4 linked regions of the Schizosaccharomyces pombe genome follow. Changing the gene in region 1 together with any one later gene gives a genetic interaction. Each region holds a gene or a part of one and is shown in the gene's direction. Other genes may lie near its edges. The genes, in order: bmt2, pet801, SPOM_SPBPB2B2.14C and mgr3.

Evidence for each region.
Region 2: mutations in bmt2 (region 1) and pet801 together harm fitness more than expected from each alone (negative genetic interaction), as found in Schizosaccharomyces pombe (one large-scale study listed by BioGRID).
Region 3: mutations in bmt2 (region 1) and SPOM_SPBPB2B2.14C together harm fitness more than expected from each alone (negative genetic interaction), as found in Schizosaccharomyces pombe (one large-scale study listed by BioGRID).
Region 4: mutations in bmt2 (region 1) and mgr3 together harm fitness more than expected from each alone (negative genetic interaction), as found in Schizosaccharomyces pombe (one large-scale study listed by BioGRID).

Annotation. Positions count from the first base shown.
Region 1 is NC_003424.3:363,169-368,054, forward strand, and holds bmt2 (rRNA (adenine) methyltransferase Bmt2), read left to right. Parts: upstream 1-2,276; 5' UTR 2,277-2,381; coding exon 2,382-3,194; 3' UTR 3,195-3,274; downstream 3,275-4,886. Other genes in the region: mug58 (glycerate kinase), read right to left, coding at 1-434; protein Vps55, read left to right, coding at 3,633-3,649, 3,705-3,723, 3,800-3,872, 3,937-4,021, 4,125-4,180, 4,227-4,363.
Region 2 is NC_003424.3:4,586,011-4,591,096, forward strand, and holds pet801 (putative S-adenosylmethionine transporter), read left to right. Parts: upstream 1-2,459; 5' UTR 2,460-2,476; coding exon 2,477-2,500; intron 2,501-2,556; coding exon 2,557-2,713; intron 2,714-2,858; coding exon 2,859-3,313; intron 3,314-3,399; coding exon 3,400-3,564; 3' UTR 3,565-3,783; downstream 3,784-5,086. Other genes in the region: acp1 (F-actin-capping protein alpha subunit), read left to right, coding at 1-125; til1 (tRNA(Ile)-lysidine synthetase family protein), read right to left, coding at 574-1,380, 1,440-1,927, 1,973-2,048; protein Nod1, read left to right, coding at 4,255-5,086.
Region 3 is NC_003423.3:4,491,091-4,495,485, reverse strand, and holds SPOM_SPBPB2B2.14C (uncharacterized protein), read left to right. Parts: upstream 1-2,163; coding exon 2,164-2,581; intron 2,582-2,631; coding exon 2,632-2,906; downstream 2,907-4,395.
Region 4 is NC_003424.3:1,608,961-1,614,114, forward strand, and holds mgr3 (TPR repeat-containing protein), read left to right. Parts: upstream 1-2,536; 5' UTR 2,537-2,603; coding exon 2,604-3,674; 3' UTR 3,675-3,744; downstream 3,745-5,154. Other genes in the region: sterol transfer protein Osh3, read left to right, coding at 1-2,039; cdc123 (translation initiation factor eIF2 assembly protein), read left to right, coding at 4,225-4,894, 4,963-5,154.

The DNA of each region.
Region 1 (4,886 bases):
TAGGTAGTTGTTTTAGGATTTGCCTTTTTCCATTGGGATTCATCTCCCCTATCTCCGTAGCCACCAAACTTGGATTTATCGTAAAAAGGGATAGATACCTCCTCATCGCTTCCCTTAACAAATGCATTTAAAACATTATTTAAAAATGTGACATCATGGGTTCCAGCTAAACCACGATGTTGAACAAGAGGATTATTGGGATTATTTTTGGCCAATTCAACTTGTTCTGCGTGCGTGAGGTAAAAGTCGTCAAGTGAGAACTTCACAACTGATTCGTTCTTCCTTGTTAATTCGGTATCTAAAGCACTTGCCAGTGTGCTTTTACCAGATCCTTGAGGGCCGGAAATTCCAAGAATAAAAGGACGACCTTCAGGTTTTGGCTGCTTTTCCAGGAATTTTAAAATTTTGTCGACAATGATTTCCAACGAACTCATATTCCACTTCTATATAAAATTTTTAAATTAAATACAAAACCTAGCTTCCCCTTAAAAACGACTTAATAACATAAGTATAGGAAAGACGTAGGACTAATACTCGAAATGTGAAAGAAAGCGAGGTGCTGTAGCTATATGAAAATTCAATGTTAAGTACCACAGTGACTAGATACTTTCGTAACGACTACCAGTAAAGGACTACAAACACAAAAAGCTTTTTAAAAGGCTAAAGTCGTTATGCAATGGTTGGATTTTACCAACAAAGTTTTGTTACGGGATGTTGTATCACTAACATTCCGTTACGTCTCATTTGTGCCAATATACTGAATGCTTGCGTAAACTCTGTAATACTTGGAAACGGCTTCACTGCGCCTCACTATTTGGAAAGTTGTAACGCTGTAAATGTTTTGTTTTTACCTATAAGTAAATAGAAGATACATAATAAAATTTGGTGATGCTCTGGATTTTCAGGGATAATAGAATTTCTGTAGTTATATTTTCTACAATGACGGCTAACTTTTAAATTGTTTAATCTTGATGCCATGCAGTATAGCTCAAATGCTGAAGAATTTAGGTAATATGCATTTTATACTTTGTCTTTAAATTGTCATACTTGTCTCTTGCGACTTTTATAGCTAAATAATAATATTCCAGTGCTAACGTATGTGTTTTTTCTATAGTAATCCAAAAAAAACACGCAATTTATTGTGTCAGTAAATAAAGTAACTTGTAAAAATAAGTTTAGCTGAAATGTACAACAATCAGTCCCCCATCCAATGCGATAGCAGCCGCAGTTACAAATATTATTTATATTTAATTATTACATTTTGTTTACAGGTACATAATGTTTGTTAACACTTTTTGTACGTTTAATTAAACTAAAAGTATTTATTTTTTTAACATATACTCTAAAAAATTAATTTACTCAAGTTTGAGTTATCAAGAAAATTTAATCTACAATAATTATTTTTGAAGCACTTATTTGTTTTAATAGTATATAGTCTGGTGAAACAATTAGAATTCGTCTGTAAGTAGTAAAAATACAAAAATGTTTCTATGGTTTTCATATCATAAATACTTACACTTCACCCGTTTAACTTAAAAACTTAAGGTAATCCGTAGTACACCAAATTCTTTTCTTTTCTTTTTTTATTTTTTTTTATTTTTTAAAATGTATTTTATTTAAGAAATAATAAATAAAGTCCCTTATCCAATTCCACTAGATATAAATCGTTAGTTTAGAATTTACCAAAATACTTTTCAATAGCTGTCGTATATACATATTTATACACATTTATTACTTTCTTTTAAAAATAACTTATATCAATTATATCGTAACGTAACTGATGAGTGGAATCATTTAAAACAATTTAAGAGAGAAGTTGATATTGGCTGTTTATTTATCCGAATTTTTTTATGTTATAGTTCTACCATATTTGGCGGTTGTTTTCTTTATTTTGATTATTTTTTAAAAACAATTGAAAAAGTTTAGTTAATAATCAAGTAAATCTAATAACTATATATACAGTTTTCAAAGCACAATATCAACTGAGGCTTCGTGGTGTAGTGGTAGCATACTTCGTTTGGGTCGAAGTGGTCAGGGGTTCGATCCCCCTCGAAGCCCAAAGCCTTTAAATTTTTGTTTCAAATATAAAAAAAGTTGATTTGTGCTTGTAAAGTACAAACCGTATAAAAAAAGGAAACCCGTTTAATATTCTGTGTAATGGTTAAAGGGTTGCATAAATTACCGCTCTTTAATTACATATTAAGAATTTATCATACATTGTCCAAGCTCTTCTTGTGCTGAATTTTTATAAGTAACGCGACACTACTTCTTTCATCGTAAAAACTTTTCAAGTAATTAGGAAACTACATTTATGAACCATTTACTGTAAATACAATTATATTTTCATCTGGGAGATTAACAAATATTTTATCACTATTTGAATGCGTCCCATTCCAGTGAAGAATCGCATTGGAAAAAACAACATTGATAATGCAAAGGGACTGAAGGGGAATAAGCTTATTCGTCATTATCATAACCTGTTAAAAGAGAAATCTCGACTTATTGCGTCAAGTGCTCCGATTGAAAAAATAAAAAATGTGGAAAGTGAACTCGAAAATATAGGTATTGATGCTTACCAACGAGCTAGTCGATCCGGTCAAGCGGAAGGAAAAGGAGGGGATTCAAGTAAAATATTGATAAAATGGATTCGGACAACTCCCTGTTTTTCGTATTGCGCACGTCTTAAGGAGCCGAAAGATTTGTTGGAAATTGGCAGTGTTTCTGTTGACAACAAATGTTCAACTTGTGGACTTTTCCGAGTTTCAAGGATTGATTTGCATTCTGTTCATCCCTTGATTAAACAACAGGACTTTCTTGAAAGAACTCCTGAAGAAGGACTTTTTACTGGGATAAGTTGTTCACTTGTGCTGAATTTTGCACCTCCAGAACTCCGAGCTAAAATGTTATTACATTGTACAGGATTGTTAATGCCTCCTAATAAAGAACAGCCTCCTTGGTTATTTTTGGTTTTGCCTTCGCCTTGCATAACAAATTCTCGGTACATGGATGAAAAAACATTACACTCAATTATGATACAGTTTGGATTTATCTGTCGTCAAAAGTCTATATCGAAAAAAATAGCCTACTATTTATATTCTTACGAGTGTTTTCCTATGAAAGAAATAGACTGGAAAAAGAAGATCGTTAATGATGGGGCAACTAGGAATAATTTCTTCATTCCCTGTATACTCTAATTAAGATATTTGTCAATACAAAATTTATTTTACTAGTATCTCAAAGTTAAATTAATGAAATGAATGCTTTTTGTCGGTTATCCTCTTGCTTTTTTTTAATTGTATTGTTAATGTCAATTACTAGCCTTTACTTACGTAGCTACAAAGTACGTTTTTCAGAGTTTGTTCGTATGCGATACTTTACTAATGAGCCGAAAGCTCGATCATTGGTGTAAAAAATAGTAACAAGTCATTTTCGTTATATGTCTTTTTAAACTTATTTGCCAAGTTTACAAATCTTGTGCACCGCTCTGTGTTCTATGCATACAGAACACATCTGTATAACGTAATGGAGCGTACCCTTTTTAGGTGAAGTAGCTGGTAATCATCGAAGTCTCTCTTCTCAAAAGCAGTAAACTTTAGCTTGCAGTATATATTCGTGAACGATAGTAATTAAATATGTCCGACCTCAGGAAGTAAGTAATTTTTGTTAATATGAAAAAGCAAAGGTTAACGTTTGTCACCAATTAGAATTATCGGTCTTTCTTCGGTATGCATCGCTCAATGACTCCTACTCGAGCTAGACATCAATTCCATTTTAAACGAGTCTAACTTATATTATTAAGGTCCTGGCAGTAGGATTTATGCTGGTGATCCTGTCTTGTGCTTTATTCAAGAATTGGTATCCACTGCTAATTGGTATGATTTTGTCAACCGTTGAGAACTATTTCATTTACATTGCTTACGAATTACTAATGAATAGTCATTCCATTCATTTTAGCTCCTCTTCCTAATCTCCTTACGAAAAAATACTCGACAAGCCATGACTTTTTACAAGAGGAAGACAGGTATGGAAATATAATAATGTTGGTTGTTCTGGGGAAATTATTTCAACCATAATTGTTATTTTTCATTATTATTTGTAAGGAGCTCTACTAACGTTTACTAAAGAAATCTTCTTGACTTTGGTCGATTTACATTCGGTGCAACCATCTGTACCGGGTTTGGTATGTATTTATAACTGAATGAGACCTTTATGCTAATTTATAATAGCTTTACCCATAGTATTTGTTAATGTCGGATTAATTGGTACTGCTGCTGCTACAATGAGTTGCGTTGGTGGATCTATTATATTTCTTGTTATTACTTTATATTCTCAAGCTTTTGTTCAACACGAAGAAGAATTTTAATATTTATTTACTTGATTATTAATTGCTCGTTTAATGCTTGTCTTTTCTCATACTTTGCTCTCCCCTTAGTATTTCTTAGTGTCTGAAGAGTTATAAGGATTCGTGTTAATATTAACAGTTTTCTTGAATTTTTCAGATGTTCAATTTCACGGAGCATTGCTTTCAAGTCTTGATTCTTGAAGTATGTTAACGAAATATCTTACTCATTGGCTTTTGACTATAGTTAACCTGTTTCTCTCGTTTTTGGGTGCTTTTTACTATAAGAGAAATACTGGAATTTTTCAGTTTCTTGGAATTTTTATATTGATTAAATATCTAGTCATTGTCAAAATAGATATTACGTTACATATTTAAACTAGTAATTAGTAAGGCCGAAGTATCACGAAAAGTCACTTTTATGATAAAATTAAACTATAGAATGTATTCGTCTATATGAATTCTGGACCTTAATAGTTTTCTATATGAGTAATTTAAAATAAGATTGTACCTTTCTCTGATTAGGCGACATTTAGAACTTATCCTC
Region 2 (5,086 bases), 4.2 Mb from region 1:
CCTTCAACGTTGAACTTTCTTCACTTAATGACAAAAAGTTTAAAGAATTGCGTCGTCAACTTCCAGTCACTCGCCAGAAAATTAATTGGGAAAACGTTAGTGGCATCCGTATGAGAAATACTTGAAACACTTATATGTGTTTATAAATTTTGGAAATTTTTTTGCGACGATATTTTTTAAGACGGTGATTCAAGCTGTTTCCTTTTCCTTCTTCCTAAATACATATACATTGTCGCTCGATATACGACTAATAATTACTAGTCGTTTACTTTCTAAAACTTTACAAGAGCAACTCACACGCTCTTTTCTTAAACTCTTATAAGTTTTAGGAAATTATTTTTTTACGATCAATAATACAAGTTCTTCATCATTTTTTTACCGCTCGTCACCAGTAATTTAAGGGCGTATTACTTTTTGTGTGTAAGCATCAGTCGTGCTATTTATCACCAGAATATGCTCTGAGCATCTGACTTTCACCTCTGACTTTGTGATAATATAAATAAATAATGAGGCATTATTAAATCACAAATCTTGTATCTCTAATTAACATTGATTTCATGGTTCAAGCAGCAATTAAAGCTTGAACTTGTGTAGACAGTTTGAGATAATATCACTTCTAAAATTAAACCCAAAAGTAGGTATTCCAACTAACTTATCGTTTTCTTCCGACAAGACTGGAATAGTAAACCTGATATGGCCCGGAACTTGTATACAAAATTTAAGAAACTCTTCCTTACTCAAAAATCCCTTCAATGAATTTAGATCTTTGGAAAGCAACGGTCTAAGTATAAGTGTAGTCTGTGTATTTTTGCAACTGTACTTTATCCAAAACCTGTGATCCCATAAAACATAACGATCAGGATTTATGGTTATAGTTTTTTTTTTCAATTCAGCTTTACTAAATGGTTGTCTGGAAATTTGGAGTTGTAATTTAGTGTCGTCCTTTATAGAAGAGGAAGTGAGTAGACATTTAGCAATTGTTAGCTTTTTTCCATCAAAAACTGAATTACAAAGGCTTACAACAGAAGATCGTTTAATCTGTCTGCAACTTGTAGTCAATGTTAGACACCTTAAGAGCAATTCTTCCTTAGTAAGATTAGAGTGCTTTTTGAGCTCATTTTTTGAAAAGCATAAAGATAATGTACCAGATGGCTGATGGTAGCTCACAATATTATCTTTTAGTATTTCATCAACTTTATTATCTATGTTCACCTGTAAGGACTGAAACGCGGTAGCTAGTTTTGTAGCCTCTACGGTCAATGCGGCATGTTGGTTTAGAAATCTTCGTATTGCATTTCGAGGGGTGAGATTTATATCAGCATTTGTTGGATCCTCTTCCCAAGCAATTCCATGTTGTTTTGCGGTATTTAATATTTGGTTCTTCAATTCATAGGTTAGCATAAAAGTTTAATCCACAATGCGAATTTAATTTATATTACCTTATAATATGGAAGTAATGGGCGTAACAGTTCTATATTTGAAGCCCCACAAATTGAGTCAGATTCTGGTATCTGCGATACTGGTTTCATTGCACACAATCCACCCCATGTTCCGGGTTTACGTCTTAGCAATCTCATAAATATGGTTTCTGCTTGATCATTGGCATGATGTGCTGTGCAAATATGCCTGATATTGTGTGTAATACAAGCTCTAGTCAAAACTTGATATCGATGCTCTCGAGCTATTGTCTCAAGGTTTGTTAAAGAGTGAACATCATCATTACCCCAATTGATGTTGAGATAAACATTTGGTATTAACATACGATTCAAATTCCAGATTGTTTGTAAAGCCTCTTCAGTGCTATTCTTACGAATTCGATGATCAACCACAAAGGCAATAAATTGATTAGGCCATCCAAACATAATTTGCGATTCCTTCATGAACCAAGAAAGTAGCATGCTGTCCACTCCCCCAGACACAGCTATCCCTAACTTATTAGTCTTAATTATGATACAATACAAAGTGTTCATACCAAGCCGCCTGTGACCAACCCTTCGTCGTATACTAACAAGACTGTTATAGAATTCTTTCAATTTGATAGTATCCATTGATTTTGAGTTTTTCTAATCATATAAACATTCATGCAACACAGAAAAGTCATTACATAAGGAAAGAATCCACTAAACCTTTGGTGACTTTTAAACAACAATAGCTATTATTGTAATTGTACTATCAAAATATTGAATTCATGCAACATATAAAAGAGTATTTATCGCTATAAATTCAAATCAAACATCAGATGATTTTTAACTATGTTTTTAGTAATTCGTTTTCCTTTTTATACTTGATGGTGAATGTGCAATGTAGAATCAAAGAAATTATGTATTGGAATATATGCTTGTACTGGGATGTATTTAGCAAATTAATTATATACAACAAAGTATGTCAATTTGGTAGAATTCATATTTTTCATGGTAAGAACCGACACCAACTTCTTAGAACGTGTCATTTCACTCCCTCAAAGCGCCATTCAGCAATGTCATTTTTTGAAGCTCTGGGTGTAAGAAACAAAACAAACATAAATAACTATAATGAGGACTAATCAAAAATTTCTAGGCAGGAATCTGTGCTGGATTGGCAGTTGATCTATCCTTGTTTCCTATTGATACACTTAAAACTAGACTACAAGCAAAAGGAGGATTTGTAAAAAATGGAGGGTTTCATGGTGTATATCGGGGATTAGGCAGTATACTAGTTGGCAGTGCCCCAGGAGGTATGAAAAAAAAGAAAGAAAGTAATCTAAATGTATGGTTTCTTTCTCTGGTCTTAACAAACGATAGACACTTATTAAATTACCTCTTATAATATATTACAAAGTTCACAAAGTGTATAATAAACTAACTCACTAACGCTACTAGCCTCTTTATTTTTTACTACTTATGAAAACATGAAATCCAGATTATCCCAGTCTGGCCTTGGACTATCAGATCCCCAAATTCATATGTGTTCAGCTTCTCTAGGTGAAATTGCGGCTTGTATAGTTCGAGTCCCTACAGAAGTAATTAAGCAAAGAGCACAAGCTTCTGGTGGAACATTATCATCTAGAAATATTTTGCAAACGATTTTAAAATCTAACAATGTCTGGCGCGATTTTTATGCTGGTTATGGAATCACTATTGCAAGGGAAATCCCTTTCACACTAATCCAATTCCCAATTTGGGAGCACCTGAAACTGAAATGGAGAATTAAACATTCTCGAAATAAGAATTTAGCTCATGAAGCAGCTATCTCGGGCTCCATTGCAGGTGGAATAGCCGCTGCTTTAACAACTCCATTTGATGTTGTTAAAACGAGAATTATGACATCTCAGCAGGTATGTGTTTGATTTTTTGATTAAACTAAAGAATTTTGCGCGTGAATCACTACCTTGATATACACTTTTGATACTAATTTGTTTAGCGACTTTCTTATGTGTTTACAATTAAATCGATAGTTGCCCATGAAGGCTTTCTTGCTCTTTACAAAGGTATAGTTCCTCGAGTCTTATGGTTAAGTGGAGGAGGTGCTATTTTCTTAGGCTGCTACGATGTCATATTGAATTTTATGAAAGCCGAAGGATTGTGATTGAAAAAACTAGTCATAATTTAGTTTTTAGTACTTTTTGGTTGCATACAAAAATAAAAGATAGAAAATACATTCCTTTGGCTAAGCCGCGTTTTATAGAAAGAATATCTTTAATTTCAACATTTTTTGGAAGGATTCCTTACTATAAAATATCAGTTGCAAAAAAAATTAAATCATTTTCTACTGAATTATCCACTTGATCAAATATTATAACGGTGTACTATAATGGAAGAAAAAATTGTGTTTAGCATTAATGAAGTGCTATTGTAGAATTGCTGAGCTATAAAAATGAACACATCTTGACATTACTGTATGCTCGATGTATTTGGAATCAATAAATGATGAAACAATGAAGTTTCAAACTAACTAGAGTTGTGTTTATACATAGTGCTCCATATAAGATCAAACATATCCACGAACGCTCAATAAATGTTTTATTGGTGTCTAACAAATTCTTCATGATTTGGAAACTTTATTTAGTTAAAATACTTAGCAATTTATGGTGAGACATCCATCCAATCTCAAATTTTTTCTCTATTCGTAAATACTTCTGTTTAAGCAACTAGACGAATTTTGGTTTCAAACTTCTACAACGCAATTCTAAAGTGAAGATTTCCTTGAAACGCTTATCTACTATTTGTTGATTGGGTGTTCCATACCGATTGAAATTTACTTTTCTGATATATTTAAATGGAAAAACCATTGCCTAATCCGCCTATTCAAGAAAGTTTACGAAAGCAATCCCCCCAAGACGCTGTTTACGATGATTTGGTTTTTGGTTTAAAACGTTATGAAGCGGCTTTCTCAATTAAAGACAGTATTGAAGATGTTCTAGCAAATTTTTCTAAAGACGAGGAAAAGGAAATGGTTTGTCTCAGTACGTCGATTGCAGAAAATCCTTATCAATCGCTTTCATTAGAATCTGTTCCATCCAAAATACTATTTGGATCATTTTTATTTTATGTAAAGGATCGAATCCCGGAGAAAGCTGGTTATATAATTGAAGAGCAGTTCTGTAAACGACTTCAACAAATCGATTACGATGCTTATTCTTTCTCACCAAAAGAGTGTAATGAAAAATTAAAAAATATTTTCTCTGAATTCTCTCAAATGAAGCTAAAAATGTTGTCTGTTTTTTTCTCGATTGTACAAATTTTGCTTCCTAAACTCAGTGGAGATTATCAGGAACATGTCCAATTTTTTGCTTCTATATCGGCTGTCGTAGCACCGAGGGGTTATGTTTTTGAAATCTATCATGCAGTTGAACATTTATCTCTTGAAGCTAGGGAAGTTTTTCAGCTGCACCATCCTCCTTCCCCAAAACAAACAAGGCGGGTCGTTTCTGAAGGACCTCTTAATGGCGTAAACTACAAGCAAAACACTACTAACAACAGAGTCTCTTCTTTTCAAAATTCTCAATACTCTACGCTAAATAATTTCCAAAATAACTCTAATCAATCACCTAACTCCAATGATTTGCAACCACTTCAAGCTGAAGCCTTTCACTCCGCACATAATGGGT
Region 3 (4,395 bases), on another chromosome or scaffold:
TCGTCTTTAACGAGTTGCATATATACCGCTCTATTTTTTTGCAGTTTCCTTTAAAAAATCTCATTAGAATGTTTCAATGCATACTTAATAAATCAATTTTATCAAATGCTTTGTTGTGAATATATTCTTAAAACTCATTCATTTCTTGTAAAGAAATCTTTCTTTATATGAAATTTGAAATATTCGAAATTTCATCTTTATAACTAGGTATTTCTCAATACTTTTACATAAATTAAGAAGGGAAAAAATTTGGGTTTCCTTTTTAAATCAGTTAGAGGCGAAACCTCTAACGCTTTTCATGGCTTCGTGTTAAATGTGTAATTATTTTTAAGAAGAAATACAAACACAATTAACAGATGTTGCATAACATTACTTTAGATTTGAATTTCACCTCTTAGATATCATCCATTCACATGTCAAGTAGGTGCAGTTTGTGGTTAACATATATTATTACATCTGTATTTAACCAAGTCTAGAGCAAAGAAGATATTTTCAAAATGCTGGAAGGAGAAATTTAGAATGTATGACTTACCTTGTGAAACCCTAGTATATTACGTTTTCGTAGTAAAACTAGTAGCAGGTGAAATTTTAGAGTAGTTTGTTGACGAATGTTTGTTTCAATTTTATCGCTTAAAAATTAAATTTGTTTTAGATTCATCTATTTCCATTATATTTTTTCTTTTTTGTAACATTATTCAAGTAAGGTTATGTGTATCAAAACAATAACTTCTGACTAACTACTCGAATAACAACCAAGTATTCCACTATGATTTTTAATGATGAGCCAATATTCAAGATTGATATAATTTCCAAGAGATGTTTACAAATTCCAGTTTATAATTCCCTTACGCTTTTCTTCCTCTGTATCTCTTGAAAGCCCGTTCTACTGCATTTGCTAAAAATGCAATAAATGTATGAAAGTTAAACTCAATAATCAAAGTCTTTATGTAGTATTACAGTTATGAATTATTGCGACATTTCATCTTCAGCCTTACTCAAAATCTGAAGGATTCAACATATGGCAATTTATTTGTTTTTATCATGGGAAGCACTAACGATCAAAACATCAATAGACCATAAATCATCATTTCTATATGAAAATGTAATATAACTTCTAATACAGGAATTCCTTCTTATACATTTATTTGTAACATTGCTTCATGCTTTTTTCCCTTTCATTTTCAGTTTTCTTTTGTTCCCAAATCCCAGAGCCATAATTTAAAGAAAATATGAACTGGCTAAGCGGAACCAAAGTTTTCAGTACAATTGATCTAAAAGAGTTAGTCCGATGTATAGACTTAGTCGTTGATTCCTATTCTTTACTTTTTCGCAAGAGAATAAAATTTAGGTAGCGAACGATGTTGTAATTACATACGAATATAAATTTTTCAACGAGATTTTTTTTTATTTTTATTTTTATTTTTACAATTTTAACACAAACAAATCTATAGTCTTCCATTTCTTTTTATTTACTTTCGCAAATACTCACACCTTAAACATGATTTTTCGTGTCAACTATACTTAACTATATGCTTTATAATGCTGCTACGTAGTTAGGTTGTTCATGTTTATAGCTATTGTATGCGTACGATGTTTTCAACTATTATTTTATAAAATCAGCACACTATAGATCGAGTTTGATTGTACTACCATACATTATTATCATTATCAATGTGTCGTTAATAATCCTGTATACTTGCAACCGTGATGATGAACAATCCAACATAATTATTTACACACAAATCATAAGAACATGATTTTCATTGCAATTTATGGTATCCTTAACACTATTTACAGACTTTGAAGGGAACCGTATATTAATGCAAACTAAACCAACTTCGTTATATAGGAATTGCGATAAAAAAAGTTTGTAAGTATTACAAGATATTCACATCATAATGTTTTTCCCAAATAAATGAAACATCTCAGAACGTAAAACATTCACCAATTTTGATCTTTTTTTAATTCTTTCGTTTATGGCTTTAAAATGTTTTATTATATTTTCTTATTATCTTCCATAAACCACACTGTTTAATTTTACATTGTAAAACATTACTAGTGGTGCTAAAGCTATCAAATTGCAGTGCTGTGGTTTTATTCCAATGTCAAATCCAGAAAGCGCAAAAAAACAGGTTGACCCCCCCTGGTTACAATGAGTTATTTATGGTAAGAGATACTCGTAATGTGGACCTGGAGTGGGGACTTGAATTGTGTAAGCCTGAAAAGGTAAACAAACAAAATCTCTTTACCAACATCATCAAGCCTCAAAAAGATAAAATAAACATTAAGACAGATAAAATAAAGTTCTTTTTAGATAACCTTTTTACTGAATTTTCTAAATTTCATGATAGTTGTTATCCTGATGGTAGGATTTCTACCCGCAGTAAACTTCGTTGGCCCTTGCTTATTATTTGGTGTATTTTGATTGTTTTCGCAATAGACAAGAACTTTGAAGTCAAAGATTTTCTTTCAATTTGGATAAATGAAAGTTTTATAAATGAAAATCGGTTTTACAGTGAAATTTGGGGGCCTATTGCTATTTACATTTGTTTGTTTGTTTTATTGTTGCTTGGTTTAATTTGTATGTTTCCTTTACAGTGATGCCTTTTTTTTACTAATAATTTAAAATAGACTGCTCCAAGATTGTTGTAAAAGCTATACCATTGATCAGTATAGTTATAGCAGCGGTCGTAGTAATTATCGCGGTGGCTATGGTTAAAATTTTATACATCTGCCATTGGCTGATCTACAAAATTTTAATTTTGGCTTTCGGCATAAAAGTTAAGCCATTGGGAGACACTCTTCCTACACATAATGGAGAAACAGGATCACATTCAAAGGCAACAGTTGGTTCTGACATTGAACAAATAGAATTTCAAAATATGCCCACTCCTGTGAAAAAATAATTTTCTTTATCGTTTTATGATCGAAAAGAATATAATCATCCTTACCAATATTTTACTGACTGTACCGTCCTAATCATGCACTAAAGGTGCGTCTGTTATGAATTTCAATTATGGAGTCAACCTAATTACGGTTTTTAATGAAGTATTATCACTTGATGTTACTAATGTTTTATCTTTCGTTTCAAGTCTAATCAAATACTATGAATGTCATTTACTGCGTCACAAAATGAATTCTTAATGATACATCATGAATGACTCGTTTTTAAAGTTATGTCTGAAAACTTGAAAAATGCAGCATATGGAAATTGTTAGATCGATTGATTCATTAGCTCAATAAATTCTTAAATTGCAAATTATATTCTGGCAGCAAAAAATCGAGTTATTCAGAGTCTTTCAAAAACTCTGTTTACGTATTGACATACACATTAGACTTAGCTTTTCAACAATTTATACCGCTACTTGTCGGTATCTCCTTCACCTGAAAAAGTAAATTTGTCTAATAAATTGACATGCAAACGAAGCTTTAATGTTTGATTTCTTAACCCCAATCGAATAGACAATAGCTATTTATGAAAAAAATAAATTTTAAGCTAAAAGTAAGTATGGGTTGACGATGATGTAGAATGCATGTGATTTGAAGAAATATAATTGAAAACAAAAAAAATTTACACAAGAATTCGCATCTTTTAACTACTGTACTTAATTACAGGTGATTCCCAAAATGTCTGAGCCGCTTCATCATTACTTACTGTCACATCATTATAATTATTCAGTATTAAATATGCAAGCGCTACAATTTTATTGCTTTTATGTTTGTGAAACCGTTGTTATAATTTAAAATTAACAGAAACACAACAAATATATTTGATTGTAATAAAAGTCTTTAACAATTAAGCAAGTGTTAAGTATCCGGTATGAGATTTATGATGGAAGTTGATAAAAAAGTTAAGTATAGCACGATTAACACATTTTACAATAGAATGTTATAAAAGTTCATATTGAGCTACAAGTTCCCAAAAAAAAGCAATCTAAAGTAAGATATATTTACAAATTGCTACCAAACTGAAAATATGTGGAACTTTTTAAACAGTTTTAAAGTACTTCCAGGTTGCCTCGTATTTAAATTAAGGGAATTTTAATTTGCATTATTTGTTCTAAAATCACTGCACTTATTTATGTTAAGGATTTATTGACATGTAAGTTAGAATTGCAAGCTTTGCGTGTTCCTATGCGATCAAATAAAAACAATTTCTGCACATATTATTCATCTGCCTTATATATAGTATCAAAAAAATGAACGTAATAAATTCTATCATTCTAAAAAAACGAAAGTGAAAATTAAAAGTATGTATTCTCATATCCAGTTATCTGAAAAAGTAAATAAAATATGGAGAGTATAAAGTGGTTTCGGAACGAAGTCATATAAGCCTTCCTAAAGCTAATGTAAAACTTTAGTTAACGAAAATTTATATATTTGACTATTTGCTTA
Region 4 (5,154 bases), 1.2 Mb from region 1:
TTTACTCAAGACTACGTGAATGCCTGGATATTGCTCAATTGTATCGCACCAGTCGTATCAAATCGGCTTCAAGTCATAATTTTTCTGTCCCTGAGATCCGTATACAACTTCCCGGTGATGCCAAAGAAAACAAGGAAACCCGTACTTCAGTGGAAATTACTGCTGCTGAAAACGCGCAAGCTGCGGTTACTTTACGCAAGGTTACTCGTCAACTCGGGTCTTTGTTGCATGAACTGGAATGCTTTATTCAACACCATGAATATACTAAAGAACGTACGGCGCAATCTTCTCCTTCGTCACGCATGTCTATGGATTCCAATTTTGAGCAACATTGGTACGACGCTGAAGATTATGAAAGCACAACTTCTCAATTGAATCACTATTCTGAGTCGGGTGCTCACGCAGCTGATGCTACTAAATCAAGTGTTGCTCATAATGAAAAGGTGGAGGACATCTCTGATTCCGATATTCCAATAATGAAAACTTCTTCTAATAGCACTTCCCTTGATGCAGATCGTGATTCTGACACTTCTTCTATTTCCGATACATCATCCAACTCTTCAGCTCCACATGAACAGTTGAATGCAACTTCTCTCGCCTCAACAGTAGATGAGTCTTCTCGGTCACCGCCTCTTCCCGAAGTTGAAAGCAATAAAGAAAACGATATCAAAAGAAAACAGCCATTCCATGATTTAATGGATTCTTCATCACCGGATGATTCCAGTTTTGCCAATGCTAAAAGCGATGAAGAGGTTCAAAAGCCTTCTGTTTCTAAAAACATCGCCGACGGGGCCGTTATTTCTATCCCTAAGCCTCTCACCCCTAAACCCTCCGATTCCAACTCTCTTTACCCTTTACCGCATTCCAAAGTTGGAAGAAGAAAGAATATACCAGCTATTACTGTTCCACCGCCAAGCATACTATCAATTTTACGAAAAAACATTGGAAAAGATATCAGTTCTATTCCTGCACCCGTTGTTTCTAATGAGCCTTGTAATTTACTGCAACGGTGTGCTGAAGATCTTGAATACTCTAACATGCTAGACAAAGCTAATGAATGCGATGATGATATAAAAATATTTTACGTTGCTGCTTTTGCCGTTTCAAATTTTTCCAATATGAGACATAAAGAAAGAAGTGTTCGAAAGGTTTTCAGTCCCTTGTTAGGTGAAACTTTTGAGTTGGTGCGGGAAGACAGAAATTATCGTTTTCTAGCTGAAAAAGTCTGTCATCGACCTTTAATTATTGCTTGTCATGCTGAAAGTCGAAATTGGATTTGGAACCACTCGCCTAAACCCATACAAAAATTTTGGGGAAAGTCTGTTGAATTAAATACTCTTGGTCCAGTCACCATTAAGCTTGCTTGTGGTACTGAATTCAGCTTTATGAAGCCAGCCTGTTTCCTCAAAAACGTTGCGATCGGTGAGAAATATGTGGAGCCTTACGATCATATGGAAATCGTTGATGAGACAACAGGCGATAAGGCAGTGATACGTTTCAAGAGTGGAGGTATGTTTTCTGGACGTTCAGAAGATGTTTTAGTAACAGTTATACGATCCAATGGTGAAGAAGATCCTAAATGCTTGCAAGGGAAATGGACCTCACATCTCGATTTTGTAAATACAGATGAAGGCAATGTAATCGAGCGTATCTGGGAAGTTGGTCCTTTGGTCGACAAGCCTGAAGATCATTGCGGAATGACTGTTTTTGCTGCTCAAATGAATGAGATTACAGATTTGGAAAAGGATAAATTGCCTCCAACCGATACCCGTTTGCGTCCTGATCAACGTTATAGAGAAAACAACGATCTCGATCACGCAGAACCTTTAAAATTGGAACTGGAGCAAAAACAACGCGAAAGAAGGAAAGAAATGGAGGAGAAAGATATAAAATGGGAACCTAGATGGTTTGTTCCATCTGTTGCTGGTGATGACGAAGATGAAGATGGGTCAGGTCCAATTTGGCAATTAAAAAAGGAAAATAATTATTGGGAATCTCGTGAAAACTCTACTTGGAGTTCATGTCCTAAATTATGGTGAAGTCTTATGTAACAAAAGAATTAAAAAAAAAGGAAGAGAAAGTCCCTTAAAAAAATACTCTTAAGTTTCTTAATGCTGCATAAATCGTTGGTTTTTCCTTCGTTTCATATATATTTTGTCTTTGTTTTAATAGTAAATATCTTTTAACGTTTCGTTTGTGTGTAATTAGATTCAATTGCTGTTAAGATCGTATTTTAATTCGTAGTTATGAACTAATTTAACAACAATATATTGTGTTCATTCAGCAGTGATACTAAGTGCATTTGTAAACAACAGTTTAAGGAGCATGGAATCTTTTACTACTACTACCATAAAAGACACTAATAAAATAAGTCGGTGGTGTCATTGTTTTTTGCAATTTGACATATAATGTTTATTATTATCCAAGATAGGTATCGCTGGTATACAAAAGTAACTAACACCGCTCATTATATTTTGCTCCAAAGATTTAGTGAGGCTAAACATTAGTGGTTTGACCCTTCCATGCTTTCTATGTTGACATAAACTACTAATATCGGAAATTATAGTATTAGTTAATTTGTTTGTATACGATTAAAAAAAAGTATGCGTATGCAATGGATTTGGAAAAGTAGACGCTCTTTGCAAAACGTCTTTATACGTCGCTCATCTCAATACCATAAGCCATTTTGGCGAAGACCATTGCCGGCAACCCTGCTGGGCTGCGCGGTTTTAGGAGTCGCTGCTGTTTATTTTGCCAAACCTTCTCCAATTGATGAAAATTATCCCAGGTCCGTGGCTAAGTATTTACATGAAGCATTATATCGACAGAAGGGAGAAAATAATCACGACTTTCAGGACGCCTGGAAGGCTTACCAGTCTGCCATTAAACAAGCCGAGAGTGAGAAAATGGATATGGAATCTCCTCCGGTTCAAGGAATCCGTTTGCAAATGGCGAATTTGTTAGCATCTGCAGGAGCGTTGCACAAAGCCTGGTCTATGTACTGGGATATTCTAGAAAGGACTTCAAAGCTTCCTGACTTTCTTGAGCAAAGAGTTTTGATTGCAAGCAAGCTAATCGAATTATCAGAACCGCTTGGCTTACAAAAGGATGCCACCAAAGCAGCAGACCTCATAGTAAAAGCATTGTTATCAAAACAATTTAATGGTGATGATGAGCAAAAGAGTAGGCTATTTGAACAATCGGCTACTCTGTATTTTCAAGCCGGAACTCCATCTTATGCAGTTCCGCTTTATCATGAAGCATTGAATCTTACTATGGCAAATCCTTCCTGCCACGGATTGATATTAATGAATAATTTGGCTACCAGTCTTTTAGCTCAGACTGAAACGGTCGACAAAAAACATCACGAAACGCTTATGAAGCAATCACAGTCCTGGTCTCAAAAGGCAGTTGACTCCTACTACTTCGCCTACCCTAAGGATCGTAATCAAGAGTGTCATGCTGGTTGTGCGGCTGCTTTCTACACTTTGGGTCAAATCGCTGAGCGCCAAGGAAACATCGATTTGGCTCTTAAGCATTATAAAAATTCTGAAGCATTGAGGAAAGACGATCCATACAATGATGGTTCAATGCTTTCACATATAGCTATTGATCGTCTTGATAAAGATGCTTTCATTAAAAAATTGGATAAATCCTCCTCTCCTACTGATTAGCTACGTACTTTTTTTGAATATTTACTAAATTAGTCTTAAATGTAATCGTATGTCTACGAAACATATTTACTAAATTTACGTACAAGCATGAATGTAGAGAAAAATCTTATTATCGTGGATAAATCTAAACATGCTTTTTTCAAATGGCTTTGGAAATAAGACATGTAATCAATGCGGCCATTGCTACTATCTTAAACCGAAAAACCACAGACTAGGATGATTTGTGTATTCTCAATTTCATAATTTTTGCTAAAACTTTTGTAAGTCACTTATGTAAATTCTTCAATTAATGGTTGCACGTTATTTGTCGGTGTTTGTCATAATACTTTTTTTACAACTTCTGAATTTACAAAGCTCTGGTTATCATTTTAATTCATTATAATTTATAGTAAAAATGGAAAATATGTGTCTCCAAAATGTTTACCACTCAAATTTTTCTAGATACTAGTTTATTTGTGCACTTGGCGCTTGGTTGTTCATTCACAACATATAAGCATATTTTATGGGGACACCAAAATATTAACTTCAGTGCCATAGATGAATACGGAAAATGACTCTAATACTTACTAAGAATCAAGTACTTCATTGCCAGTTTTCTAGCTGGTACAGTTTGTTTCGCAAATTGACACCTAAAGCTAAAGTAATCAAGCCCATCCCAGCTACAGTACTTAAGTATTTGCATGAAGATAGTATATATGTTGAACAGCCTATGAATACTGTAGAGGAGGTTGATAGTGAGGAAGACGAGGAATCTGCGCCAGCCTATTATCCCGAGAGAGAAGCTATCCAATTAATTGAAAAAGCAATTAAAGAGCTAGGTGGAGCAGTAGTTCCAAAGCTAAATTGGTCAACTCCTAAAGATGCTCTATGGATTACTACAACAGGCTCTTTAAAATGCACGACAGCTGAAGAGGTATTATTATTACTGAAGTCGTCCGACTTTGTTGCCCATGATCTTAATCATGCTTTTGATGATTGCAAAGATTTCGATAATGCAGATGGTTCAGTACCTAAAGATTTTTCTTTCGAACTTGTTTTAAAGGAATGGTTTCCAATGCATGCGTCAACTGAATTTCGTTGTTTTGTAAAAAGTAAAAGATTGATAGCGTTTTGTCAGCGTGATGACAATTATTACGAATTTTTGAAAGAAAACATTGATTGCTATGAAAAATTGATATCAGATCTCCTTAAAAAACTTGATACATTCCCGGATCCTGATTGTAAGTTAATATTTAAGTGCTTATGAACTAGTCCTTTGGAGTTATTTATTTTACTAACTTGAAAATAGTCGTGTTTGACGTATATATTCATAAAGATCGTGCTTGGTTGATTGATATTAATCCGTTTTACCCAAGAACAGATGGTTTACTATTCTCTTGGTCTGAATTGGAATCAATGAATTCCGAAAATATGAAACCCGAAATTCGTCTTATACCAAAAGGTTCTATGCCATCAACTGGTAGCGCAAAATATTACACAA